Stegostoma tigrinum: one gene and its partners. The main gene of each other region encodes a partner of the protein of the gene in region 3 in a complex. Links are inferred from orthologs where the notes say so. Each region holds a gene or a part of one and is shown on either strand. Other genes may lie near its edges. The genes, in order: sf3b5, snrpd1, cript and plrg1.

Evidence for each region.
Region 1: cript (region 3) and sf3b5 share a complex: the UniProt entries of both Homo sapiens proteins name them as parts of the minor spliceosome. The link is inferred for Stegostoma tigrinum from reciprocal best matches to the Homo sapiens genes CRIPT and SF3B5.
Region 2: cript (region 3) and snrpd1 share a complex: the UniProt entries of both Homo sapiens proteins name them as parts of the minor spliceosome. The link is inferred for Stegostoma tigrinum from reciprocal best matches to the Homo sapiens genes CRIPT and SNRPD1.
Region 4: cript (region 3) and plrg1 share a complex: the UniProt entries of both Homo sapiens proteins name them as parts of the minor spliceosome. The link is inferred for Stegostoma tigrinum from reciprocal best matches to the Homo sapiens genes CRIPT and PLRG1.

What each region holds. Positions count from the first base shown.
Region 1 is NC_081362.1:94,718,322-94,725,409, reverse strand, and holds sf3b5 (splicing factor 3B subunit 5), read right to left. Parts: upstream 3,010-7,088; 5' UTR 2,893-3,009; coding exon 2,632-2,892; 3' UTR 341-2,631; downstream 1-340. UniProt on the Homo sapiens protein: Component of the 17S U2 SnRNP complex of the spliceosome, a large ribonucleoprotein complex that removes introns from transcribed pre-mRNAs.
Region 2 is NC_081355.1:7,631,927-7,639,251, reverse strand, and holds the start of snrpd1 (small nuclear ribonucleoprotein Sm D1), read left to right. Parts: upstream 1-4,325; 5' UTR 4,326-4,446; coding exon 4,447-4,460; intron 4,461-7,325. UniProt on the Homo sapiens protein: Plays a role in pre-mRNA splicing as a core component of the spliceosomal U1, U2, U4 and U5 small nuclear ribonucleoproteins (snRNPs), the building blocks of the spliceosome.
Region 3 is NC_081362.1:68,477,499-68,485,428, forward strand, and holds the start of cript (cysteine-rich PDZ-binding protein), read right to left. Parts: upstream 3,021-7,930; 5' UTR 2,945-3,020; coding exon 2,929-2,944; intron 1,970-2,928; coding exon 1,904-1,969; intron 1,801-1,903; coding exon 1,746-1,800; intron 1-1,745. Other genes in the region: pigf (phosphatidylinositol-glycan biosynthesis class F protein), read left to right, coding at 6,336-6,566, 6,658-6,749. UniProt on the Homo sapiens protein: As a component of the minor spliceosome, involved in the splicing of U12-type introns in pre-mRNAs. Involved in the cytoskeletal anchoring of DLG4 in excitatory synapses.
Region 4 is NC_081354.1:53,942,215-53,949,890, forward strand, and holds the start of plrg1 (pleiotropic regulator 1), read right to left. Parts: upstream 3,017-7,676; 5' UTR 2,880-3,016; coding exon 2,871-2,879; intron 495-2,870; coding exon 388-494; intron 1-387. UniProt on the Homo sapiens protein: Involved in pre-mRNA splicing as component of the spliceosome. Component of the PRP19-CDC5L complex that forms an integral part of the spliceosome and is required for activating pre-mRNA splicing.

The DNA of each region.
Region 1 (7,088 bases), about 26 Mb from region 3:
AAATTCTCTGCCTCAGAAGGTGAAGTAGGTTAGGGCTATTGAATGTTTTTAAGGCATTTTAGATTTATGTTCGGCAAGAAGGCTAAGGTAATTGGGATATTGAGAATGTAAATGAATGTGTGCAAGAATGGAACAGCTCAACCATGATTTTTTGAACAGCAGAGCACATTTTGAAGGGCCAAATGGCTTATTTCTGCTTCTAATCCATATACATATTTAAAACATACACAATAAGGACAAAAGATTGTGTTCTGTAAATTCGGTGCTCTTTGACCGTGACCATCTATTTACCTAGTTATCTCACATTTCAGAGGAACAAAAAATCAAAACAACTAAAGTATTAAAAAAAACTGTCCATTTATTGAGCCACAGATCAGTGTAATGGTATACATTTAAAGCAAAATATTTTGTTTCTCCAGTTTAAACCAAATTGTTTACGAATTACAGTTTGTACTGCCCAGCAAAAACAGAACAGGAATAAACTGGCAACACAAAAAAGGTACAAAACCTTCCCTTCTGAATAATGAGACATTTTCTAAGTGACCTAGTCATGGTTGAGCAGGTTTCTGATTTTGCTGAACAATCGCTGCTAAAACATTACTCCATTCACTCGCAAAAATCCCCTGGAACATTATCCAATAAATCACCAAGTTTTAGGAAAATCACTTGATGGGTTTCTCTTTATTTCCAAAATTTCAATCCTTCTAAAATCAGTAACATTCTAAGTAAATTCCCCTTAAATAAAAAATATAAAGCTGCCATGCTTTTATCATGCATGGGTTTCAAGGAATCTTTCTACTTTGTTGACAACCACTTATCCAAACACTTGCCAACATAATGGCTTTTTCTATAGTTCAGTTGTTGGGGAGAGGTTATCAACGCTCTCTGTAGATTCATATAGTTTTACTCCGTACGGCACCCCATATACCATTTACGATGCAATTCATTCTTGGGAGTTTTTCCGTGCAGCAACCATCCGTGTGAACATTGGGTACTTCTGTAATCCTTCTTTAAGATCTATGTGACAGTAGTGGGCTTCGGTTTCAATATCAGCAGCAACCTCCTAGGTGAAGTCAAGCAGGGAGCTCCTCACTGATGGAGGTGTATGGAGACCATTCCATTTAACTGGGGAAGAAAGCAGATAGTCTTTGTAAGATTCCTTTCCTCGGTTGCTCAAGATTATGTTGCCAAAGTGAGTGCAAATCACAAGTAATTCACTGGATGGGTGTTCAGAACATCTTGAAACAGTGAAATTTCCCTTCTGTTGACAGTGACAAAGTTTCACTTGTGAGAGCAAGTCAGATGGACTGGCCATTTTTACAGTAGACTTTTTGTGGCCAGTGACCATTTTATCTATAAAGTAGTTCAGTTCAACAAAAAAGTCATTTGCTTTTGTAAAGCAAGATGATATTTCAGATGAATAACAAAAGTTTAAATCAAATGCATGTCCTTGTGCTGGCAGAGCCCCCAAGAGAAGTGTGGACTCCCTTGCTGCTGGAGCAAGATGGGTGGTGGATTCCTTTGCTGATTGTAGAGCGGAAGAGGGTGGCTGAAAAACGACCTGACTGGCTGGGGAAGGCAAAGGTGGATCCACTTAGAGGGGGCCAGGTACAGTTCTTCAAGTCATATTGGATTTAAAATATTAGCTGTTTCTCTCCCCTTAAATATGGCCAGATCTGCTGAGTTTCTCCAGCATTTTCAGTTTTAGTTTCAGATTTCCAGCATCCCACAGTATTTTGCTTTCATTTGTGTACAGGAATGATGCCATTTTGGAAGCGGATTGGATCAATCCCTCAGTCATTGACAACGACTTTGGATGTGCTGATGGCAAATGGGAGGGCCAAAATTCAAGTCCAAGTTTTGGAGGGAAAATGGAGCACAAATAACATTTGTACCCTAAACTCTCATCACTCCTCTTCAATAGCCATAGAACAGCTCATCCTCATAACCCAGCCTTCACAGGTATGCACTTCTGATCCAACCATCCAAGTCTCTTTTGTACTTCACCTATATCTCCCTTCAATCACCAATAGGCCACTTACTTCACCCAAATCCCTCCTGTTACCCAACTGTCCAGCCACAGCCCAACCTCTAAACATCTCACACTCCCCCAGCCTACACCTGTAACCATCCCATTTATGGTATCTTTCTTATCCTCCAACTGTATACCCCATACATGGTCTTCTTCCTCCAACAATATCCACCACATACCTCCACACATATTGCAATCACACTCCCCATATTCCCTCCTTATCCTCCACCCATGTCCCTGCACCTAATTACACTCATTACCATATCTATACCCCAAAAATCCACCAGACATCAATACTTATAGCTCCCAAATCCTCATTCCTCCCCACATACTCACTTGTATCTTCCCAATTCCCACTATATCCCCTTCACCCAACCACACTTATACCACACTCCACTCCCTTCACCCAGTCATACCTATACTCCTCCCATCCCCATTCCCACCCCATCCCATCCTTCACCTATCCACAGCCATGCCCCCCAATCCCCTTCACCTATCCACAACCCTACCCCACATCTCGTATCTCCATATCTAATCCTCACCCTTCGCCCACACCGCACCCCAGCAACCCCCCCCCCCCCCCCCCCCCCAAGGCCCTCTTAGGCCTCCTCGGGCTTGTCGGGCGGGGGCCCACACGGCTGTAGCATCTTCTCCATGAGGTTGAAGCGGACTCGGGCCTTGGTCTCGTTCTCGGCCACGGCGAAGTAGTTGAGGAGGTCGAAGTGGCCCATGTACGAGGCGTACGAGTCGCGGTGCTGGTTGACGAGCCACTCCCACTTGGTGGTGTCGGCGTGCCCGGTGCCGATGTACTTGGACTGGAGATGTTCCAACTGGCTGTGGATGTTGTAACGGTCCGTCATCGCGGCTCCGGCTCTCCGCTTGAAAAAAGATTCGAATCCCAACCGTCAACCGCCCGCCGGAGGAAACCTAACATGGCCGCCGTTACCAGGGTTACCGCCACGTGGCTTTCCGGGAAGCTGCAGGTACAATTAAATGAAAGTAACCGTTCGGGACGAAATTGTGATTTTGTCTCATGTGAAGAGAAATCTTGGTAAATTAGGGCTATTAAAAATGTTTACACGATGTTGCGCAATCGCCTGCGTTGGAGCTCCGCCCCCTACCAGGCGACCTTTACAGTTATTTTTTGGAATAAAAAAACAACGCTTACCGAAGAAATACTGACAATCGTATGCTTGGTTCTGACATAAAACAATCGGTTCTTTAACAAATCGGCGTTATTAAATTGATAGACATTGACGCGCAGGCGCATTGGATGCCGGGTTTGAGGCCCCACTGATGCTTTTAGCACCACCAGGTGCCCCCTAGATCGGAGGACCGCTGCTATGTGGTATTGCACTCTCAATTTATTGCATTGCAGCGACTAATTTTGGTCCATCGCCAGATACATGGAGTAACAATAATAAATAAAATAAAATTTCAGTTAGTGATTTTTATAGAATCCATAAAGTACAGAAAGAGGCCATTCGGCCTATCGAGTCCATAAGACTATAAGACATAGGAGTGGAAGTAAGGCCGTTCGGCCCATCAAGTCCACTCCGCCATTGAAATCATGGCTGATGGGCATTTCAACTCCACTTTCCTGCACTCTACCCATAGCCCTTGATTCCTTGTGAGATCAAGAATCTGTCGATCTCTGCCTTGAAGGCATCCAACGTCCTGTCACCACGGACCCTCTTAAGAGCACCCCGCCCAAACCCATCCCCTTACCCTATCCCTATAAACACGCATTTTCCATGTCTAATCCATCTAGCCTTCAACATCCCTGGACACTATGGACAATTTAGCAAGGCCAATTTATCTAACCTGCTCATCTTTGGACTGTGGGACGAAACCGGACCACCTGGAGGAAACCTACGTAGACATAGGGAGAATGTGCAGACTCAACACTGCGATGTCCCTGGTACTGAGAAGCAGCAATGCCAACCATTGTGCCACCCTTGATCAGTATCATGAATAGGCGTACCTACATTGGTGCAATAAAGAACTGCCACTCGTTTGCAATAAAAATCAAACCATCTTCAGCCACTTCATCAATGACCTTACCTCCATCATAAGGTTAGAACTGGGAATGATTGCACAATGTTCAGCACTGTTCACAACTCCTCACTTCTAAGCAGTCGGTGTTCAAATGAAACAAGATCTGAACAGTATTCAGGTGTGATCTGACTAGATCTAGATAAAATCTTCAAAACGCCATCAAGGATGCCAAGAGACAACACCCGAACTAAACCAGAGGTCCCAGATTAACCACAGAAACACATGTTGAATTTGGCAAGACTTACATGATTTAAGGGGCGACAAAGCAAAGTTGAGTACAATTTCTGAAAGCAATACATTTCTCCCCAGTGAGCTCATTTTAAACAACAGGTTAGTGAAATGATGTCATCTGTCCCGACGATCTCGGGATCACCTGTACTCACAGTCACCACTGCAGATGTCAGATCAGTGGCAAATTTGAGGTGATGCGTTTTGGAAGATCTAATTCAAGAGCGAACTATACAGTAAATGGAAAAGTCCTGGGGAAAATTGATGCACAGAGAGATCTGGGTGCTCAGGTCCATTGTTCCCTGAAGGTGGCAACGCAGGTCAATAGGGTGGTCAAGAAGGCATATGGCATGCTTTCCTTCATCGGACGGGGTATTGAGTACAAGAGTTGGCAGGTCATGTTACAGTTGTATAAGACTTTGGTTTGGCCATATTTAGAGTACGGTGTACAGTTCTGGTTGCCACATTACCAAAAGGATGTGGATGCTTTGGAAAGGGTGCAGAGGTGGTTCACCAGGATGTTGCCTGGTATGGAGGGTGCTAACGATGAAGAGAGGTTGAGTAGGTTAGGATTATTTTCATTAGAAAGATGGAGATTGAGGGGGGACCTAATTGAGGTCTACAAAATCATGAGGGGTATAGACAGGGTGGATAGCAAGCAGCTTTTTCCCAGAGTGGGGGATTCAATTACTAGGGGTCATGAGTTCAAAGTGAGAGGAGGAAAGTTTAAGGGAGATATGCGTGGAAAGTTCTTTACACAGAGGGTGGTGGGTGCCTGGAACGTGTTGCCAGCGGAGGTGGTAGACGCAGACACGTTAGCATCTTTTAAGATGTATCTGGACAGGTACATGGATGGGCAGGGAGCAAATGGACACAGACCCTTAGAAAATAGACGACAGGTTTAGACAGAGGATCTTGATCAGCGCTGGCTTGGAGGGCCGAAGGGCCTGTTCCTGTGCTGTCGGTTTCTTTGTTCTTTGTTCTTTGTGTCCTTGAGAGTTACCCCCTCAGAAAATGACTGGTGCATATGGGGTCCCTGATTGTGAACTGAGATCCTGCACAGACCAGCTGGTGGGATTATTTGCAGACGTCTTAACCTCTCCTTACTATGATGTGAGTTCCCACCTTCTTCAGGAAGATGACCATCATCCTGGTGCCAAAGAAGAATCAGGTCATGTGCTTTAATGACTGCTGCACTGATTCTGACATCCATCATCATGAAGTGCTTTGAGAAGTTAGTAATGGCTCACATCAACTTCAGCCTCCCAGATTGCCTTGGCTCACAACAGTTTGCCGACTGTCACAGAAGGTCCATGGCAGACACCATCTCCCTGGCCCTACATTCAGCCCTGGAGCATTTAGATAATAAAGACACCTACATCAGTCTCCTGTTAATTGACTTTAGCTATGCCTTCAATACCATAATTCCAACAAAACTCATCTCCAAGCTCCAAGATCTAGGAGTCTGCTCTCCCTTCTGTACCTGAATCCCTGACTTCCTGACCTGCAGACTGCAATCAGTGAGGATAGGTGACAACCCCTCCACAATAATCCTCTATAGTGGGTTGGACCTCACACAACAATGAGACAGAGTACAGGAAGGAAATAGGCAGTTTAGTGGCATGGTGTGGAGACCACAATCTCTCCCCCAATAACAGCAAAATGAAAGAGCTGGTCTTCGACTTCAGGAAGCAGAGTGGAGGGCAGGCAACTGTCTGTATCGATGGCGTTGATGTGGAGGTGGTCGAGAAGGTCAAGTTCTAAGAGTAAATATCACCAATGATCAATCCTCATCCATCCATGTTGATGCTGGCCAAACAAGCAGACCAACACCTCTGTTGCTTCAGAAGGCTAATGAAATTCAGCATGTCCACAATGACTCTTACCAATTTTTATAGAAGTACCATAGAATGCATCCCAACCAGAAGCGGCAGAGCTTGGTATGGCAACTGCTCTGCCTAAGCCTGAAAGAAATTATAGAGAGTTGTGAGAGTCAAAGTCGTGGTTCTCCTTGTCCATCTTTGACTGGGACAACACCAAGATGCTGGGACAGGTTCAGCAGAGTCAAGCACGAAAATTCCTGGAAGCCTGGCACTCCATGGCACTCCACATTGAACTTGACCCCATATACATTCTACTGCGGAGGAAACCCGGAAGTGAGGCAGTTCATCGCAACGGAACCCAGAGTTTAAAAGCCAGGCGGGAAAACACACACTGATGCTTCATCAGAGGCTGCACTGAGGATGTTACCCAGCACGGTAACGAAACATCTGCAGAACAACAAACCAGCTCAGCGAGCCAACCAACCTCAACACCCACAACCCGAGCTACAAATCTACTCCAAAACCTTAGATTCTGGTGTTATCATTGACCAGAAACTGAATTGGACTCACAACATAAACATAGTGTCTACAAAGGCAGGGCAGACACTTGGAACACTGCAGCCATAACTCATCTCCCTAAAGTCTATCCACCAGCTACAAGGTACAAGTCAGGAATATGCTGGAATACTCCCCACTTGGCTGGATGGGTGCAGTTCCAACAACACTGTCTGGTGAGTGACACCCACATCCCATGATTGAATGGAGAAAACGCACCCATTAGACCTCACCTGGGGTATTTGTCAAATTGGCACTGTCCTGCAGAAGCCGGTGTAGAATCATAGAATCTCTACAGTGCAGATCGAAGCCATTTGGCCCATCGAGTCTGCACAGACCCTATGAAGGGCACCAGGTGGTTATTTGGATATAAATAGTATGGGCCTATGGGA
Region 2 (7,325 bases), on a different chromosome or scaffold from region 3:
AATCTCTGGGATGGGGAGGGCAGGGGTGGGGGCTTTTCACATACGGTAATGGTTCAAATCCAGCAAGCCTATTACTATTCCAGTCAGCTTGTCTGCGTGTGTATATATAATTATATATAGATATCATGAAATAGTAACAGAGCAGTAACATATCTGTGGAATGAGTTATTATTTCCAGATTTTAAGCTGTTAAGTTCAAAGTTTTGTAGAGAAGTTTGGAAATCAACTTGCTGCATGCCCTCAGTCCTTTCAGTCCGGTGTTTAAACCTGAAACCGCTTTGACATCTGTCTGCATCCTAATAACTCCTGGGGTAAGGGAGCTTTGATGTACATGCAAAACTGTACAGCGAGTTTTAGACAAACCTGGAATTTGTATTATGTTACAGAATTAACTGTATATTTTGATTTTCCTGAGTTGTGCATTATTTTCATTTAATGACAGTGTAATGATATACTTGAAGTCCTGTTCTTTTTCTAATTTTTACATTTGCTTGTGCAGCTCTTCCATTTGAAGTATTATACTTGGGTGTTATCAAACTGTTAAAATACTCAGTGGAATTGTTTTCTGGCTTTTGTTGCTTTTGGGAAACAATGTACTCTAATTCACCCTATATTCCCCTGAATAGTGCCTAGTTTATCCATTCATATTTTTTAATACCTTGAAATATCACTTTAAATTGTCCAAATGGGGATGAATGCTACCGTCTGTTTCATTATTAGAGACATACAAATTGGGATTAAAACTAGAGCAGAGCAATGAATTTGCAAAATGCCTTTAAATTGTCACGCAATCACTGATACAGAGGGCAATTCAATCAGTGTATTTTGCAGATTGAGATCAAGAATTGTCTTTCAGAATTGGAACTACAGTAGCTGTCATAAGAGATTAGTTCAGGTATTTACAAACGGGACTGGGCTGGGAGCAGCTTCTATTTATACAAGTGAAACTGTTGTCAGTTTTCCAACTATATCCATTCCATTGCCCTATTCTGTATTATGTTCCTCCTCTTTTGGAGTAATAAATAAAATGATATACAAATAAAGATTTTTATTGTTTATTTCTTCATAATATTAACTTGAATTCAGCGTGCTACATTTGGACAGTAAAGAGACTTGGTGTAATGTTCAGTTCTCTTGTTTATTTGCAGTTCTTTCTTTAAAATCTGTCATTCTATGTCCTGTATATTTTAAAAATCTTAATTTCAGAATAGCCAGCTAAATGCTGTTTTGGCAGCATCTGACAGGACAGCAATAGATTTAGCATTTTGAGTCGAAGAGCCTCAGTCAGAAGTCCTAATTCATTGAACTGAAACAACATTACTATATTGTAAAAAATAATTTATGGAGAAGTTCAGCAACATCTGTGGAGAGAGAAAAATAGCTCATATTTCTGTTTTTCTCACTTATCTTTCAGTTCTTCCAGCAGGTGCTGGAAATCTGAAATACTTCATTTTGTGTTACTAATGAGTTGCTGCAACCTGGGGGATCTGCCACCTGCATTCCGCTGTTGACTCTACAACTATGTGGTTTAAATTCCTGTATGAATTGCTCTCACTTGAAGCAGAGTATAACTTCTGTAATGAGCTGCACTTCTCAGTTTTCCTGATCAGCACTGTGCTAGCTGCTGTGGTGAAGTACTTTTGATGGGCTGCATTTTAAATTACTGTCCAACATTAGGCAGAATGTGATGTCTTATCCCATGTACTGTGAATGAAACAGAGCATAGCCTCCTAAAAGGTTAGGTGTATCTACATAGCTTCCCAGGGAACATTTCAGATTAAGAACCCACACTATTGTTACACCAGTTTTTTCACTGAATCACTACAGTGTGGAAGCAGCCCATTTGACCCATCGAGTCCATACCAACATGGTGGCACACTGCTTTCACTGCCTGTACAGGAAGAAAATTCCAAAGCTTCACAATCCCTTGTGGGAAAGAAAATCTCAATTTCTGTTTTAAATGGGGAAACCCCTTATTTTTAACCTATGACCCCAGTTCTAGATTCTCCCACAAGAGGGAATGTTCATCCGTATCTGCCCGGTCAAGTCCCCCACTTGTATACTACACTCATGTCACAAAGAGAAATGAGAGTAAAATGTAATAAGTTTTGTCATTACATAGGAAACTTCTGAAAGAAAGTCTTTGAGTTGATAGAGAATGTTTTGGCTTGAAACTGTGTGGCTTGGAATTGAAGTTGCAGGTGAAGTTGTTCCCATGTATCAGTTGCCCTTGTCCTTCTAAAAACCAAAAGAACTGCGGATGCTGTAAATCAGGAACAAAAACAAAGATTTTGAAAAAACTCAGCAGGTCTGGCAGCATCTGTGAAGGAGAAAACAGAGCGAAGGGTCAATGGATCCGAAACGTTAACTCTGTTTGCTCCTTCACAGATGCTGCCAGACCTGCTGAGCTTTTCCAGCAACTTTTTGTTTTTGCCCTTGTCTTTCTATTGGATGAGAGTTTGGAAGGTGGTCTCTGGGGATCTTTGGCTTTTTTTTTGCAGCACATCTTGTTGGCCCACTTGGAATTGGGAATCAAGTTCTATTGTCAAATGAACTCTACTAGAGGGATACATTACAGTGAAAAGTGTACAAAGTCGCCATTTTCATCTTAGATGCAAAAGTGCCGAGATACAAGTTAGAATAAAAAAGAAATAAAGTTAAAGTTCAGCATTACAGACTTTCTAAAGCGGGGAAAGAGAGCAAAAAAAAACACAAGTCTGTGCTGGGTTCACCCTGATGCTGGTGGCGCTCGAGCGAACACTGTGACAACTCGCCAGCTCTCCGGGGTGGGAGATAAATAGAAAGAGGGAAAAGAAAGCATGAAAAGAATAAAACAGACTTGGTGGACGAGCTCTGGTCTGCCAAAGTCTTGGAAAGTGCTAGCCAAGGAAACCTTGTTGATCTCTTTTTTTTGTTGCCCATCTTGCAGGCCAAATGTAAAGCATGTATCAGCAAACATGACTCGGTGCAAGTACAAAGAAGAAAGGAAATTACAGCACATTCGGCCCTCCCAGCCTGCGCCGATTGCGATCCTCTGTCTAAACCTGTCATCTGTTTTCTAAGGCTCTGTATCCCTTTGCTCTCTGCCCCTCCATCTACCTATCCAGATACATCTTAAAAGACACTTATCATGTCTGTGTCTACCACCTCCGCTGGCAACGTGTTCCAGGCACCCACCACCCTCTGTGTAAAGAACTTTCCACGCATATCTCCCTTAAACTTTCCTCCTCTCACTTTGAACTCATGACCCCTAGTAATTGAGTCCCCCACTTTGGGGGGGAAAAAAGCTTCTTGCTGTCCACCGAATCAATACCTTATGATTTTGTAGACCTCAATCTGGTGCTGTTTTGACTATATTGGAATTGAGAAAATTGTTTGAAAGGGAATATTTGAAAACTGCACTGTTGCAAAAGGGCATTGGAAATGACAAGTTCACATTCAGTGGAAGGTCTATGATGCTCAGGACCAAAGCTTCTTATCCAAAGATGTCAAAAGTAAAGAAAGGCTGAAAATGACTACTCTTGATTTTGTTTTCAAAGAATGGAAGCTATTTAAAATAAAAATACTTTACACTGCTTATAGAAACATAGCCTACTCCTGTGATTATAAAGTGTGAAGCTGGATGAACACAGCAGGCTAAGCAGCATCTCTGCCTGCTGTGTTCATCCAGCTTTGCACTTTATTATCTTGGATTCTCCAGCATCTGCAGTTCCCATTATCTCCTCTACTCCTGTGATTGATTGTTTTCTATTTGCCCCTTTGAGCCTGCACTGCTATTCAATATGACCACGCCATCTCAGTATCCCACTCTGGCTTTCTCTCCATACCCCTTGATCCCTTTAACTGCAAGGGCCACGTCCACCTCCCTCGTGAATATATCTAATGAACTGACCCCGACAGCTTCCTGTGGGAGAGAATTACACACGTTCACAACTTTGAGTGAAGAAATTCTTCCTCATCTCATTCCTGACTGGCTTACCCCTTACTCTTAGACTGTGAACCCTGATTCTGAACTCCTCCCCAACGTCAGGAATAATCATCCTGCATCTAGCCTGTCCAGTACCAGCAGGATTTTGTGTTTCTATGAAATGCCCCCATTCTTCTGAATTCCAGCGAGTGAAGGAGGGAGACTCTGTGCTGTAAAGTCTGGTCTGATTTTTCTGGGCGGGGAGTTATTTCCATATTTTATTAAAGGGGGCAGTAGGGAGCACCTGCAAACGCCGTTCTTCATTATCTGGCTTTCTGCGCATGCACCGTCACATCGTCCAGCATTCCGCGCATGCTCAATTGGAAACGGCCGACTCGGCGCCCAATTAGAGGAAACGGCTGCCGGCGCACTGCGCACGCTCAGTAGTAGGAGCCGGCTGCCGGCCTTCCGCGCATGCTTATTGCAGGGCCGGTTGTGGCGCCTCCATTCCGCGGCCCCGGGAACAATCTGCCTCCATCATGAAGTTGGTCCGGTAAGAGGAGGCATCGGAGGCCGGGGATGGGTGGACCTGGGCCTATACCTACCGAAACGGAGGGTATGGGGAGGGGAACGGAATGGGAGAGACTCGGTGCGAAGGAGATGATGGAGAAGTCGCGGCCCAGCTCAGGCCTGGGGCCTAGTCAGGCTGCACCGGCCGGGGTGAGGCTGCGGGAGATCTGGCCGCAGGCACGGGGCCAGCCCGGGGCTTCGAGGCCTAGGATCCTGGAGAGGTGGTGGGTGAGGCTACAGTCTCTGCCCTCTCCTAGGATTTACAGTGTGGAAGGAGCTGCTGCTGTTCTGATTGAGCACCTTGATCATGGATCAGACTCACTCAGCTCTCCCTTTGTCTGTAATCCAGTTTAAAAAGCATTTAAAAATGGACAGCGCTTTCATTCTTAAACTAATCTCTCTGATTTGACAAAGTCCCACTGTTTGATTTGAGAGTGCATCACTTCCCCACCCCCCCACTTCCCTTCCCCATTCCCATTGCTGTACATCCAAAGGGTTCAGTGTCTCCCACACAATAACCATTCTACCCTCTTTCCTCTCAGACAACACTCGTGGTTAGCCAGAATTGTCTGTGGTCTCACTCACCCACAGTTGGACAGTTGCTCAGTGAGGACAGAGATAATGGGAACTGCAGATGCTGGAGAATCTGAGATAACAAAGTGTGGGGCTGGATGAACACAGCAGGCCAAGCAGCATCTTAGGAGCACAAAAGCTGATGTTTCGGGCCTAGACCCTTCATCAGAGAGGGTGGTGGGGAGAGGGTTCTGGAATAAATAGGGAGAGAAGGGGAGGCAGACTGAAGATGGATAGAGGAGAAGATAGGTGCAGACGAGAGCATTTGTGCTCCTAAGATGCTGCTTGGCCTGCTGTGTTCATCCAGCCCCACACTTTGTTAGCTCAGTGAGACTGTTGGCCTTTTCCTCCACACATGCGCCCAGTCTTGCACCTGCCCTTCCTGACGATGCCCGTGACAGGGCGAGTGGTCAGCCAGAGATGCCTGTTTCGACTTCCGAGCATACAGTAGTCACCGTGACAACGCTGCCTCCCTAACTTCAGTGGTGCCAAATGGATGGTCAGCAAGCACTGCCCATCACACATTCTTCACTGTCTGTGTCTGGTTGGCTACAACTCCTGGATGAATTGTGATTTTGAAAGGATTGTGAAGTCTGCCAATGCTGATTCTGTCCCGGACCCCTGTCTTAGAGTTATACATTACAGAAACAGACCCTTCGGCCCAACCTGTCTATTCTGACCAGAATCCCAAACTAAACTAGTCCCGCCTGCCTGTGCTTGGCCCATATCCCTCCAAACATTTCTTATTCATGTGCTTATCTAAATGTCTTTTAAATGTTGCTTCTGTACTCACATCCATCACTCCCACTGTCTTTTTTAAATCACTCTCCCATCGCCTTAAAAATGTGCCCCTAGCCTTGAAATCTCTCACCCAGCGAAAAGACACATGTCATTCACGTTAGTTATACCCTTCATTATTTTATGAACCTCTGTAAGGTCACCTCTTAATCTCTTATTTTCCGGTGGAAAATATCCTAGCCTATCAACCTCTCCTTATAATTCAAGCTCTCCATTTCTAGCAATATCCTGGTAAATCTCTTCTGAAGTTTCTCCAGGTTAATAATATCCTTCTCATAACAGGGAAACCAGAACTGTTCACAGTATTCCAGAAGCGACCTCACCAATGTCCTCTGCAATCTCAGTGTAACATCACAAATTCATTCTCAAAGACTTGAGCAATGAAGACAAGCTTGTTAGATGCCTTCTTAACCACTGTATCTATTTGTGATGCAAACTTCAAAGAATTATGTACCTGAATCCCTAGGTGTTTCTGTTCTACAACACTGTCCAAGGTCCTACTTTGAATTATATAAGTCTTTGCATTTGTTTCTTTTATCAGACTGCAGTGCCTCATGTTTTTCCAAATTAAACTCCATCTGCCACTCTTCAGCCCGTTGACCCAACTGATCATCTTTGTAACCTTAGATAACCTCCTTCCCTGTCCACTATACCACCAATCTTGGTGTCATCCACAAACTTACTAACCATGTTTTCTACATTCTCATCTAAATCATTCATATAAATGACAGACAAAAATGGACCCAGGACCAATCCTTGTGAAGCACTGGTCACAGGCCTCCAGTCCAAGAAACAACCTTCCACCATCATACTCTGCCTATGCAGTTAAGCCAACCTTGCATCCGTTTGACAAGTTCACCCTGAATCCCATGTGATCAAACTTTACTAATTAGTCTACAGTATGGAACCTTTTCAAAGGCTTTACTAAAACCTGCCTCTCATTCCTCAGGTTGTTTCTCTAGTACGGAACAAGGAACTGCAGTGTATTGTACTGGGTTGATGTAGTTTTGGTTCTCAGATTCTAAATCTTCAGTCTTGATGTTATTGTGATGTGGTGTTCCTTCTCTCTTTATCCATACGTTGTAAGTAATGAATTTTGTGATCTGCGCTGATATGGGGGTTAATGTGCTGATGTGCACCAGCAGCAGAAACAAAGAACCTACATAAATTTAGATCTTTAACTGGTTGACATTGACATGGAGGAATAAAGAATATTCACCCCCCCGACCCACCACCCAAGTAATGTGCAAGTCCACAAATTAGCAGATCTGTTGAATTCTATTTTGCATACAAGTGGTAGAATTTGAATTTTAATTTCTTGCATTTTAATCATCCGATACAAGGAAAGTTGAATTGCCATAATGACGCAAGAGACGGCAAGGATCTTTAAATTCATTGGACGGGGTGGTGGAATAATGGAAATATCACTGGACTAGTAATCCAGAACCTCAAGCTGACGTTCTGAGGATGTGGGTTC
Region 3 (7,930 bases):
TACCATAATCGACATACTATATAAATGCATGTTGATAATTTTGGGAGATTGCCTTTGTAAAGAAGTAGGTGTCATAGCAGACTTATATTTTGCAAAGTCTAAAATGACAACTTTGCTTTGTATACGCCATAAACTAAGTAAACTTACCAAGGCGGTTCACAGAATGCATTTGGATAAAAAACTACACTGACCCAAAGAAGATATCAAAAGAAAAGACAAAAAGCTTGGTCAACAGGGTGTTAAGATAGATTTTTAAGAATGAGAGACAAAGACATCTTGGAAAATATTTAAACAGGTTAAAGCCTCAGTGACAAGTGAAAATGCTATTAACAGTAGGAAATGGGAGATCTGCAAGGTCAAAGTTGTACGGGTGCAGCACTATTGGAGCTCAGTAGGTCTAGAGAAGCTGAACACAGATGGTTGAGGCAGAAGCAGAGGCCAATATTACATTGTCCTTATGATGAGCGCATATGATTTCAGAAGCTCATTCAGTCATGTAGAATGCCAAGATACAGTAGTCAGTGACAGGGATAGAATCAGAGGAAAGAAAACCAAATTTATCACACTGGGTCAAAGAAAATGGCTATAGTCTTTTCAAAATTCTAAAAGTGCAGTTTATTTGGGATATTAGATAGGCAGTAAGTAAAATGCTAATTTGGAGGGGGAATGCAGATACAATGGGTTGAATGACCTTTTTCTGCACTGCAATAATTTTATAAATCTGTGAAGCAGTAGTCAAGGTGGTCAAGAGTGATGTAGTGAGATAAAAATGGGTGTCACAATGTATGTGTGGAATTTTACGTTGCACCTTTTGTTATTGGATAAAACATATAATGTGGAAAAACAGATTTTTAACAAATCAAAAGAAAGTGAACAATTTAAGAACGTACATTTCTTAAGTCTCCATTCATTTATGAAATTATTCAACGCTGCATCTACAAATGACTTAAAATCAACAGGTTAGGAGAGTCCAAAACTAGAGGGCATGGGTTTCAGGTGAGAGGGGAAAGATTTAAAAGGGACTTAAGGGCAACATTTTCATGTAGACAGTGGCGCGTGCATGGAATGAGCTACCAGGGGAAGTGGTGGAGGTTGGTATGATTACAACATTTAAAAGGCATCTGGATGGGTATATGAATAGGAGGGGTTTAAATGTCTATGGGCCAAATGCTGGCAAATGGGAATGAATTAATTTAGGATATATGGTCAATATGGACAAGTTTACCCAAAGAGTCTGCTTCCATGCTATACAACTCTGTGACTAGGTTAAAATTTAAAATCCTTTTACCAGTTTTGCAAGTGCACCCCCCCCCCCCACAAAAGTTATATAATTACAAAACTGTTCAAGCCGCAATGCTTCTCAAAATCATAATTTAAGTAAAATATAAAAGTATATTCTAAATAAACTCAGTAGTAATCTAACAGGAGTCCCTTGTTCAATTCTTAGACCAGGCTGTTTGCTAACCTCAGTCAATCTAGTAGTCGGATCACTGCCATTAATCGATAAACAGACAAAATCCAAACTTTTACCCAGAAATCTCTGATGAAAGAACTATTTTTGCACAATGACGATTAAGTTACTATGACGCTAATGACAACAGCAATCAGAAGCTCTCAATGTCCAAGCTTATACATAAACACAGCCAGTCATTTCAGCTACTGGAGCGTTGCATGTACCTGCAGAAACTCACATGTATCTTCCACATTTACAGACACTATCTTTGAAAACTCAGTATTATACCAACCTTGCTTTTTTAGAAGTCAACACCTTGTTTTCATTGATCTTGCGGCCGCCACTTTCTGTTAAAATGCATTACAACTTAAATTAGAATGGCACGCTCCAAATCAGTATAAAAAATTTAAATCCATATGCAACTATGTAGCAACTGAATTTGGTTAGTACCCATCGTGTTCCTTGATCCATCTTTCCAAGTATCTGGTGTAATAACTCTTCCCAACTTCTTTTCACCTACAAGAACAAAACAATAAGCAATAACTTAAATAAACCTAGAGAAAACAATAAAAAAAATTACATTAATTTACCAGGAATTAGATAATACTAAGGATACGAACTTTTGATTACAAAGCTTAAGAGACCTGTACACTCAGATTAGTACCCTTAGAGCAGTCCAGCACCCCTTTAAATACAAGATTCCTAGTTATTCTTTCATCACTGCTTTAATAACAGAAAACACATGAATTAACATAATGGGTAATAAAGTGTGAAGCTGGATGAACACATCAGGCCAAGCAGCATCTCAGCAGCACAAAAGCTGACGTTTCGGGCCTAGACCCTTCATCAGAGATGAAGGGTCTAGGCCCGAAACATCAGCTTTTGTGCTGCTGAGATGCTGCTTGGCCTGCTGTGTTCATCCAGCTCCACACTTTGTTATCTGGGATTCTCCAGCATCTGCAGTTCCCATTACCTCTGATACAATACTAACGTAATGGGGTTGGGGAACCAAAGAGACAATGTCAGAGCTGTTATACGTGATATTTTATGTGTTCCTTTGTTCTGAGGAAGGGCCACTAAACCCAAAACACTAACTCTATTTTTCCCTTCACAGTTGCTGCCTGACCTGCTGAGCTTTTCCAACAGTTTCTGCTGTTGTTCCTGTTTTATGTGATGATGGCGATGGGAGGGACAGAATATTTGAAGGAGAGGGTCAGTGGAGGATGGGGGGGGGCGCTAGGAAAGGGTGGTCAGCAGTTCATTGGGAATAGGGAGAGACGAGGTGGTTCTCCGGATAAGATGAGCCCACAGGGAGGACGGGGGCGAAGGAAACGGAGAGGCAGGCGAGAGAGAGTCTGGGGCTAGGAGCGGGGCCCAGTCTGGAGCGGCCACAGCCTGAGTGAGTGAATGTGAGCGGCCTCACCCCCAACCCTCAGCCAGCCCGAGCCCACACCCAGGTCCCTGTCCCCACTCACATTTCTCACACACCATCCTCCACCGCCACCGGCCCCCACTTCCGGCAACAAACCAGCTCAAGCGGAAGTTGTCTCCCGGGTCTTAGTGCAATTCCAGAGCAGAGACTGAGGTCTGCTGTGGATATGCCTGGGAGCCCAGTAGTAATCATTACAGGAAAATGTTTCATACAAACTAAGTTTATTAACCTGCACCACACTGCTAAGAAACAGAACACGAGAAGTATCCCAGCAAGGTGTTGTACTAAGAAATTCTGGCTGGGTTTAGAAGTTGCTTCTCAGGGTGAAGATCCACCTGGAGGTGTCAGAACTATCTGCTTTGAATGTCTGATCCGGTTTTTGTCCCAATGTGGGTCGCTTATATTTTAAAACATTTTAGAACAAGCTAACGGTTTTTAGGAGCACAGTTACATACGTTTATTTTTAAATTCTGTGTTTGCATTTGAGATGTGACAATTATGCTTCTGGGATCCAGTTCTGAAAATGAAAATGCTTTTAAAGTTTATGAAATTCTGGCCATGGCTAAGGCTTAGAGTCTTAAATTGCCAATTTATTTTTCTTTCCAATGTGCTACATTTCACTCACACCTAAAACTGTGGACAGTATTTATAGAACATAAAACAATACAGCACAGAGCAGACCCTTCAGCCCTTGATGTTGCACTGACCCGTGAACTAATCTAAGCCCCTCCCCTACACTATTCCATCATTATCCATATTGACAAAGTTTTTTTAAAAATCTTTTACCAATTCCAATTTAAAACTAGTTTCCAGACTTTTTTTAAAAAAATTACATGACCCTAATCAATAGTTTACACTGAATTTTTACCTCCAGGGTTAAATGGCCTACTGCTGTGCTGTAAATGTGTATGTGTCTAATGCAATAATTTAACTTCTCTAAAAGCACATTACTGAAGTCATTGAGTTAATAATAACTGGAAACAACAAGCCAGGCAGCATTGGTGGAGAAACTAGAATTCACTCGAAACATGAGATAGCAAGAATTGCAGATGCTGGAGGAACACAGCAAGCCAGACAGCAGAGGAACAGGAAAGTTTTACACTTGAAACATGTCTAACTGTTCTACTTGCCAGCAATGTCACCTGAACAGTATGTCATTTTGTATTTTTATTTCCATTATCCTATGTGCTGACCCTCACCAACTGTGGCAGTGCTGATTCAGGGCTTTAATTGTCTGTGTGCCAGTATGCCCTCAGGTACACCGATCCACAACACAACACAACATCCTCATGATAAAACTAATGCTGGCCTCCAACACATCATAGAATCATACAGTATGGAGGAGGCCTTTCAGCCTATTGTGTCTGCACTAACAAAAATCTATTCTAAATCTACACTAGACTCACTTTTTAAACACTTAGCCCACAACCTTTTTTTAAATGACATTTTGAGTACTTTTTAAAAGATTGTGAATTTCCCCAGCTTAACTACACTCAAGACTTCCACCAATTTTGGTTAAACAAAGTTTCCTCAAATCACCTCCAAACCTCTTGCCATTTCTCTTAAAATTATGTTTTCTTGTTATTGACCTTTCAACTAAAGGGGATAGCTTTTATCATCTTCCTTATCTATAGCCTTCATAATCTTAGACTCCTTATTTCAGGTCCCCTCTGAGCTTTCTGTGCTCTAAACAAAACAACCTGAACATATTCAGCTTTTCTTAATAGCTAAACTACTCCAGCCCTGGCAGCATTGTGGTGAACCTACTTTGTACCACCTCGTCTGCAAGCACATTCTTCCTGGCCTACAACAGAACTTGTTCTGGATAGAACTATCGCAGATACCTGCCATTCTCCCATCAACATAACCTCCCCTGGATACTGACCCCCAATTAAATCTAATCTGGAGAAAACTATCACAGGTACACCCAGTCCTGAAACACAGCTTAATTTTGAATAACACTAGCTGCCCTTCAACACAACCTCCACCAGACAAATCTGGTCCCCAAATGAACACCACCTAAATAAACTACTTCAGCTACCTGCCACCTACCCCCAGAAAGACCTGACCCCAGTCGCTTCCTCCCCTGGATACACCTGGCTCCCAGCTACCTCCAGATAGTAAAATGTGAGGCTGGATGAACACAGCAGGCCAAGCAGCATCTCAGGAGCACAAAAGCTGACGTTTCGGGCCTAGACCCTTCATCAGAGAGGGGGATGGGGAGAGGGAACTGGAATAAATAGGGAGAGGCGCACCAAAGATGGAGAGTAAAGAAGATAGGTGGGGAGGTGGGGAGGTAGGGAGTCGTCCCCTCCCCCCACTGCACCACACAACCAGCCCAGCTCTTCCCCCCCCACCCACTGCATCCCAAAACCAGTCCAACCTGTCTCTGCCTCCCTAACCGGTTCTTCCTCTCACCCATCCCTTCCTCCCACCCCAAGCTGCACCCCCATCTACCTACTAACCTCATCCCACCTCCTTGACCTGTCCGTCTTCCCTGGACTGACCTATCCCCTCCCTACCTCCTCACCTATACTCTCCTCTCCACCTATCTTCTTTACTCTCCATCTTCGGTCCGCCTCCCCCTCTCTCCCTATTTATTCCAGTTCCCTCTCCGATGAAGGGTCTAGGCCCAAAACGTCAGCTTTTGTGCTCCTGAGATGCTGCTTTGCCTGCTGTGTTCATCCAGCCTCACATTTTATTATCTTGGATTCTCCAGCATCTGCAGTTCCCATTATCTCTGATACTATTTTACCTCCAGCCACTCCCTCGTCTGGATACACCTGGCTCCTAGCTACCTGCCACCTGACTCCAGCCACTCCCTCTCCTGGATACACCTAGCAACCAGCTACCTGCCACCTACCCCCAGATAGACCTGACCCCAGCCACTCCCTCCCCTGGATACACCTGGCTCCTAGCTACCTGCCATCTCCCCACAGATATGCTTGACCCTAGCCACTCCCTCTCCTGGATACACCTGGCTCCCAGCTACCTGCCACCTGACCCCAGCCACTCCCTCCCCTGGATATACCTGGCTCCTAGCTACCTGCCCAGTCGATGTAACCATTCCAACGTCGAAACGTTGTATCGCAAACGTCTTACGTAAGAGGTCCCGCCCTCTCGAAATGATTGGCCTAAAATTGCCGAATGGACAGTAGCTGTGGGTCTGATTGGTAGGATGATGTTGCCAGTTTCCAAGATGTTTCCGCCTGTACCGTGTGTGTGTGTGTGTGTGTGTGTGAGAGAGAGAGAGAGAGAGAGTGATGGTGGGTAAGGTTGGGTGTGCAGAGGCCCGACTGGAACCAGGGAAAGGGAGATTTCAGATGCAAAAATACTACAAATTATCACTTGACTGAGAAGGCTAGTGACAGTACAAGACTGATGTGTTACTTTTGGCAGTAGTCGCTAACATTTTGCACAGACGATTCGGTAACAAAGCAAGGAAAAAACATGAAGGATTTTGAGTTAAGAGGCATGTTTTCGGCGCATATTATTCTGGTCCTGTCTATCGTTTTTTCTACCTTGGCCCCTTCTTTATTTTTGGACGAGTTTTCTGTAATTGGAACCCACTTGCAATGGTTGTGTGTTTGCTCTGCCACTGTTGCTGCTGTGACCATTGTTTTGTATTTATTGCTCGCAACGAATCCTACCTCCAACAGGAAGAATTCCTCCAGTGGCACGGTAAGATCGTGAAGGATGTTTCATATTCTTTTGATATTCGGTTTTAATACAAAGTGTGAAATAATTTGTATTTTCATATATTGTTTTCCAGGTCACAAAGATCTTCAAATCCTGTCTGTTGTTCTTTATATCCTGTATAGTATTTCATGGAATTTTAGTTTTATATGGAGCACCACTTCTAGTGTAAGTATACAATTAACTGGAATTTTGTCAAGAGTTTCATTCTGAAAGGGTATTTATGGCTTTTAGTTGAGAAGAAATTGTAGGTGACTGATCTCTTTAACATGCTCAATTTTCCAGGTGATGTTGGAAACTGGTGGATGACTGTTAAGTGTAAATGCAAGGAATGTAGCAACTGTTATATACAGGCATCTTGGACAATTAAGTCAATACGTCTTCTTCCACTCTCCTTCGTCTAATCCTATCAGTACACCACTTGAATCAATACAGTTAAAAGTAGCAAATCACGTCAACAAAGACATTTAAATAAACCAAAATTAAACAATGAAAGCACTGGTGTTCATTTCTGTTGTAGGAATAGAACTTAAAAGCAGACAGAAGTAGTTAAACTTGTACAGAAACTTGGTTAGACATTTATGTTGCAAAAAAAATTGAAACACAGAAGTTGCACAAATGATTCTCACAGATAATACCGGAACTGAGGGATTAAACCTATTAGGAAAAGCTAAATAAGGCTGTGCCATTAACTCAGACAATGTTCACGTGGTAACTTTAGTGATGTCCTTAAAGTTACAAAGATGTTTAATTCAGTGGTTGTAACAAAAATGTTCTTATTTGAGAGACAGTGTAAAACTTGAAGTGATGAATATAAGGTAGCTTCTAATAAATCAAGTAAGGAATTCAGAGTAAATTTCTATAGCCAGAGAGTTGTTTAAATAGGCTATGATGTGGAACATTTGAGATAGACACCTTGAAAGCTTCTAAAAGAAAGCTAGTAAGGGTATATGGAAAAACAAAATAGAAGAGTGTACAGATAGGATTAGATGAAGTAGAGTGCTAAATTTCTGTGCTGTATATCTTATACAGAACGTAATGTACCTTGTGTATTTATTTTTGCATTTGAGAATTTGAGTTTGAAATTTTGATTTCAAGTTGAGAATTGTGCATTTGAGGATCTTAGATGCAAGAGAAGCTAGATGATATATGCAAAACCAGATGAGAAACTACGGTAATGAGAATATAATAGTCCTGGAATAAATTTGCGGCTTTTAAATTGCTTTAAAAGTGTCCTAAGCTGGATATGAAAGAGTTTTTGACATATAATGATGAGAGAAAGCAATGAAAAAGGTGGTGGCATCACTGTTAATTAAGTTGACATAAGTTCAGTACTCAAGGATAAGATT
Region 4 (7,676 bases), on a different chromosome or scaffold from region 3:
AAAAAAACTGGACATGGAATACAGAGAAGTGGCATGACAATACAGCAGAGTATGGATGCCACATGTATGTAAGTTGATGGGATGCCTGCAGACGATATTGCTGATCCTGGGGAGTCGTGTGGATTTGGACAACAGAGTGAAAGCTGTGCAGGGTCATAGTAAGAATAAACAAGTTATTACAAATAAGAAGTGGTCTCAGCAGACAAGATGAAAATATGGCAATGGGAAATAACACAGGTTGAAGTATTTGGAAGTATTATATGCCAGACATAAAACACTTGAGGCTTTGACACTGGCTGTAATGAAGCTGGGCCCCTTGCATTGTATCTGATGAGATACTCATTCTGTAACCAACTATTACGAGGCAAGCTCAACTAAAGCACTCACCTTTTCTCATCTACTGCAATAGGTTTAGCATGATCGCTAACAAACATGTCGTGGGTTCTTTTCAGGGATCTGAACACCAGTGTGTGTACAGAATGTTTCTGCACCTCCTGCCAAAAAGAAAAAAAACAATTTTGAATTATGTATGAACTTCCAATTCTGTAACAACTAATCAAATAATTAAATTGAACTAAACAATGACATAGTAGGTGGAATTGCTAAACAAAATACACTGATCCTTTCTATATTTCCACATTTCAACATGCCATGTAACCTTAGAAGATATCCTGCAAGGCACTTCAAGAAATGTTTTCATAGGGCCAAGTGAAACAGTATGTCAGCACAATGACATTTACTCTTGGAAACAGAATAAAACACATGAATCGCCATATGACACGTGCAGGGCAGTTTCTAGTGACAGTAGGCCCAAATCACAAAACACTTCCACCTGCCCTTGAAAATGTTTCACAGAGGAAATTGGTATCCACAATTGGTGAGAATGGCAGTCATCCTGGAGACCAGACACCATCAAACCATTACATTCTCACTTTCTGGGATTCTGTTGTTAAAGTTAAGCATGCTGGAGTAGTGTCAAAAATAGCTTTATTCTTCTCCTGATCATCCTGTAGCTAACCTGAAAATGCTCAGTACTATCACTGGAGTGTTCTAGGGCAATTGAAATTCATTCCCCACCACTGACTTTCTTGACTTTAACAAGCACTACATACAATTAAAGCACAGAAACAAAACACATTGCAGCTCATAAGAACACCAGAAGTAGGAGAAGGCCTTATCGCCTCTTGAGCCTGCTACACCATTCAATAAGATTATGGCTGCTCTGATCTGGGCTCATCTCATTTCCCATAACTCTTGACCCCACCATTCTGTAGTTCAAGACTGTATCTCCACCCTGAATACAGTCAATGATTTTGAATCCAGAGTGCTCCTCAGTAGAATATTCGAAAGAGTCACAAACCCCTAGAGATAAAACCTCCTCATCTCTATTTTAAATAGCTGTTGCTTTATTTTGAATATTCAGCACTTTCAAGTTCTCTCATGACAGTAGACTGCAGATGAGTAACAGTGTACAATGCAGGTCAACTGAAGACCTAAAACTTTATTCCACTTCATATGTTGTCTAAAATAATTGTAACTTTGTTTGAAAAGTTTCTAAACTTTTAAGCTTTAACGTATATATCTTCTGTGAAGGAAACTAAAATTCAATGCTCATTTCATGTCACCACCTCGTGTTTTGTGGTAATGACTACACATTTCTTATCAAGCATATAATTTATAGCTATATTTATACCAAGTCTTCTGTCAACTTGTTCACTAAAAGGTTGTTATCCCTAATTATTACATGGGTATATTAAAGTTGTTCAATAATAAAACACCAATTAACAAATTGATGGAATTCACAACTTAAGTTTCAAACATACTGCAGCAAGATCAGAAAAGTTAATTGGAAATGGTACCAATGGAAAGTCTCCCTCATAATGAAAAATTTACATAGTAGGCTAGTAGCATAAATTTTCCAGAATTTTGACAGTTTATCTCAGGATTACACATTTGAATAGTCATGGAGTGAGAAAATTAGAAATTACACAGGAACAGGAAATTCATCTCATATAGATGCCCTTCCATAAAATGAGCAGTTCTGATTGTGCACCCTAATTTCTATTCTAATGTATTTTCCTACATGACTTTGACACTTTCTCACAAGTGCCCATTCCTAATTAACATTTATGGTGCCTACTTTATTGAATACTGTATTACATAATTTTATAAGCCTCCTGTAAGTCATATCTTCCACTCTCCATCATTCCGCACATCTCAAATATGCAAAGTTACCAGCTACTCCGTTTCATCTCTATAAATTCTAAACACTTCATTGACAGTCCACGCGTTCCTCTATATTAACAAAGATAGGTTGGAATGTTTAAGTTTTATCACATATACACGGGCGTACAAAACAAGACTCATTGAGACGAATTCTAATTTGCAACGAGAAACAGATAAATGGGGAGGGGGAGAAAAGAAATCGCAACAGCAAACTTTCCGTAATTATACAACTGATTAAAGCCAAAAGCTGAATAATTTAGAAAGGCATGCAAGATAAGAGGTCACTGCATCTTTATTCCTTTATTGTTTTTGAATGAACAAATGCCAGCTAGTAAGGGACGGTAAGCAAGTTATACTGTACTTAACCAGCATGCATTTTACTTTTACTATAAAATGGGAACTTTGTAGATCACGTCAACTTCCTTTCCTTCAAACAGGAAAAGCTTCCCCAACATCATCCTTTTCTATTTCCTTCGGCACCTGGAGAGGGGTCCACCCTCTTCCTTGCTTTATTGTGCGGGGTAGGCGGCCAGGCCGGAACGCTCAGACCCAGCAACTGGCGGCTCAAAGGCCGACAGCCCGAGAACAGTGACACATCCACACTCCCTCCTACTGAATCCTGAACATAACCCAAAGACGCCCACCTCCACCATAGCTGCAACTCGAACCGCTTTTTAAAAAGCGGGCTCCAGATCCCAAGCAGAAACCGCCGCCCTCCTGAGTGACCGGTCTCCCCAATCGCAACAGCAGCCTTCACTTCCCAACCGGAGACGGACGGATAACAAAGAGAAGCCCTGTCATGCGATTGTCTGTCCGCCAGCGACAGCGCCACTTACTCCGTGCGGCCGTACACCGTATCAACAGCCACGGAGAGTAGGAATTGCCGACGCTGGAGTCTGAGATGACAAGGTGCGGAGCTGGGGGAACACGGCAGGGTAAGCAGTTTCTTCAGAAGGGTCCAAACCCGAAACGTCAGCTTTCCTGGTTCTCTGATGCTGCCTGGCGTGCTATTCCTCCAGCTCCACATCTTGTTATCACCGTATCAACAGTGCTGCAGGCTTTCGGCTGTACCTATTTTCAAATGAGTTCTTAACAGGACTTGCAGCATGCCACAATATGATACTATAGCAGATACATTATTCTGAAGGTTCCAGTGGGCCAGGGATAGTGTCCCCACCTCTCGACTAGAAGGCTAGAGTTCAAATCTCTGACTCCTGAAAAATGGCCACTGTACTCGAAACATTAAGTCTGCTTTCTCTCCACAGATGCTGTTATAAGGTAAGATACAGGAGCAAAATTCGGCGTGAGTCTGCTCCGCCGTTTGATCTGCCCCGACCTGCTGAGTTTCTCCAGTAAGTTTTATTTCAATCCTACTTGCTCCAGATTTGTGTCATAAATGCTGAACAGTTAGACTTTAAAATATTAACAATTTCTCCCACCCCCAACTCTACCCCCCCCCCCCACTCCAAACAATGGTCAGATAGTTAAGAGAGCAAAGCAAACGGGACTTGCACGGAGACCATACAGTATGATCAGTGCAGCGGCCTCTGAATTGTCTGGGAAGTTGAATTTCCCAGGAATAATTGTCTCCCCTTGGAAATGTCAAAAAAAATCTTCCAGACTTGTGAGAGCTCATTTAAGCTTAATATTCACTCAGGAAATGGTAGATTAAAAACCCATGTTAAAGCCTGACTATTAAACTTAGCCCCACAACAACAACACTGCAACCCCTGGCATACCTCACACCCCCACCCCAGCACAGCATCTACCCCAACTACTGAATGCCACTAGGTCTAACACACCCATGTCACACAATGCAACCACACCCCACTCTCTGCCAGACTCGACAGCTCCATGGGAACCAGACCCAACTCTACATCCCGTCCTGAACCGGTCCAACTCTTAACAGCTCTGGCTCCACCCTGTGACCCAACCCTGATGGACCTGACCCTATATTCTCTTGACACAACCTGGGCCTGACCTCTAGCCCACCTGAAATATCTCAACTCCTGCTGGACCTGACTCAGTTTTAACTTCCGAGTAACCATTTAACAGACCCCTTTCTTACGTACACATCTCTGAAGGCACTTTTACCAGACATCTTACACCTGTCACCTGCCCCAGGACCTGTACGCTTTTCTTCAGATCCAAACCTGACCTCCTTCCTGCACCAGAGACCTGACCTGACACCTCATCACCTGTCAGCTGACATGCTCTCCCTTCCTTTCTGCCAGACCGGACAAAATCTGAGCCCCATGCCACAACAACCCCCTCATGCTCTGAAACTGGACCCACACAAACACACCACCTACCTCCTGACTCACTTCCTTCCCATCTGCTACTGCAGCAGACCTGACCCCCCAACAGTTGGACCTGACCCATTAACCTCCTGTGCTAGAGCTGACCAAAACATGTTTGCTTGCTTGAATTGATGGTAACTGCCAACATAGAGAGTGTGAGCCTAAAAGTCTGCTTCCATATTATACTTTATATGTATTTCTATCCCATTTCTAGCGTCAACCCTATTTTGTTATTCTCTATTTCGTGGAGAATCCTAATGTTAGTGCTTCCTGAATGTTCCTCTCTGTTAATGATAGACTCCAAAGACAATCCTACTTTCCAATATCCAGTCTATATCAATTCAAGGACTTATTTCAGTTTCCAATTGCACTTATTGTGCCTGAGCTACTGAAACATCACTCTCATTATCCAAGGCCAAGGGCTTGGTTTTGCTCTGTTGGCTGGTCTGTGACCTGGCGATGCGTTTCAATTACCACAATAGCTGAGGCTACTATGAAATATTCTTCTTCCCAACCTCTCCCCACACCTGAGATGTGGTGACCCTCCACTAGTTGTTTCTGCCCAGGAGCACAGCAACTTTTACCTTTAATGCAAGGTTAATGCAACAAATATTCAAATGTTTCATCTTAGTGATGATATATGATCATAAAGTACACAAACTCATGGGTGTAAGACTTCAGAGACTGGCAAGAAATTAGGCTCTGCTGGTTGTGGAGAAAGGGCAGGGAATGGTTCTCAAAGAAAATTAGCCTTTCAAGGCTCAATCAGCATGGAGGAGGAATGGCAGATCGACTTTAAGTCAAGATTAAATCAAGAGTACTTTTCTAATTTATTACCTAGCAGAATTTCAAGAGCTCTCACATTATTTACATCGTGGTTTAACATTTATCATTTTTAATTTTGTTGCTTCAGCTACTTAGAGTGCAAAATGTAATCATAAAGGAGGCTAATGAGCTCATTACATGTTTGTCAGCTCTTTTGAAAGAATTATCGAAGTAATGCCACAATCACATTCTTTCCCAAAATCATAGCAATTTTATTCAAGTATTTATTCAATCATTGGCGCATCAAGTATATCATCCCTTTTCAGTGCTAAACAGTGTCTTTGATCAAAACTGCCACCTCTTCCTTTCTTTTGAAATACCAATAAAAAGAACATAATCAGTCTAATATTTCCTGTAAAATATCTTTATTGATCAGTAAAAGGCATGCATTCTTTCTTCAAGCAACGAACAAATTGAGAAGATCATTCATAACAGCTGGGAATCAGACTGAAGATGGTTTCCGTTCCCTATTGATTTGCTGCAAAAGAAAACAAATGCTCTGAGTTTTCAGACAGATTGTACTGCATCTACCAAGAGCAGTAAAAGTTGCTGCCTCAACAATGTAGGAAACAACTTCACCCTTAACCAATGTCAAGGAAATAGTTATCTGGTTATTTGTCTCACTGTTTGGGACATCTTGAGGTCACCAGAGATGCTTTATAGATGCATTTTATCTTAGCTCTTCTACAAGAGTGAAACTAATACAGTCAGCATTATACTATAGATCAAAGAGGTTTCCTCCCCTTATGTTTTCAGTTACCTTCTCTTCAAGTGCTGCTTACAATCAAAACTATAGCAGTCCATTTATTCCTGTGTTCCAATCAATTTTAATTTATTGCCTCACCAAATGTTGAGAAAGCTAAGTATTTAGAATAGTGTGTCACTGGAACGTTTTTGTAAACAAAATTCTCTTATGCTGTTAGTTATATAGTGTTTCAATTGCCTTTACCATATATCCCCATCCATATTTCTTTAACTAGGAGTGCATTTACAGCGAGTCAAAGTTTAATCTCAAGTCCTCCTGTAATGTGCAATCCTGATGGTTCTTCAGGAACTACATAATGAAAATAAAAGGAGGAGGCTGTTACTTCAGACTCCCTGGGTATCTTTTGGTTTCAGCATCTAATTCTCATCCATATGCTGTCCTTCAGTAGCATCACTCAAAGACAAACCATCAGGTTCTAAGTAAACATGAATGACCCCTAATTCTGCATCTCTACCAATTCTGTCAAACCCTCCACCTCCTCTATGTTGTCATAATGTCTGTATAACATGCAGTTTCAAATGAGTTTTGATTCATTGTAGAAAACACCACTAAGACTGAAGTCATTGTTTTCAGCCTTTAACATAACCTCTATTCCACCATTTTCAATTTCAATTCACTCCAGACCACTCTTTCAGGCTGAAAGAGATTGTATCAAACCTCTATGATCTACTGGATGCACGTGAACCTCCACCTTTATCCTTTCTAACACAAAACCAGCTATTCTCACCACTTTAACTTCACCACGTGTCCCTGCCTTCAAACCCCTACAGCTAAAACACTCACCATACCTTTATTACATCCTACTCCAGTGCTCTTCTGGCCAGCCACCCACTGACCACTCTCTCCAAACGTGAGCTCATCCCAAACTATTCTGCAGTCATACTAATGCATAGCAAATGGGCTCAACAGCAGGGCTAGAAAGAGAAATCCTGGTCCTGCTTCTGTTTCTAGGCCCCACACCAACATGAACTTTTCCTTTCATATCCTTTTTTAAGGGCTACATTTTGACTTTCAGAGATTACATTTTGTTTACAGAGAATATTTTTCATTCTCGCTAACTCATTTATTAAGTGATGCAGTCATGTAGTAACGATTCCTTCTATGTATATATATGTTGAAATTTGCATATTTAGATACACATTGAAGCATTCTTAGAAGAATTCATAAATCTACCCAATCAACCATCTATTAAACTCAAAGCTGTAATACACAAACATCAATTTCTTAGACACCAGAACAATTAAATTGAAAAGGAAAATAGGTACAAATTAGCAATGAAACTTATTTCAAAAAATGGCTAACATCGGGCAGCACGGTGGCTCAGTGGTTAGCACTGCTGCCTCACAGCGCCAGGGACCCGGGTTCGATTCTAGTCTTGGGAAACTGTCTGTAACAAGTTTGCACATTCTCCCCATGTCTGCGTGGGTTTCCTCTGGGTGCTCCAGTTTCCTCCCACAGTCCAAACATGTGCAGGCTAGGTGGATTGGCCTTGCTAAATTGCCCACAGGGTTCAGGGATGTGTAGATTAGGTGGGTTATAGGGAAATGGGCCTGAGTGGG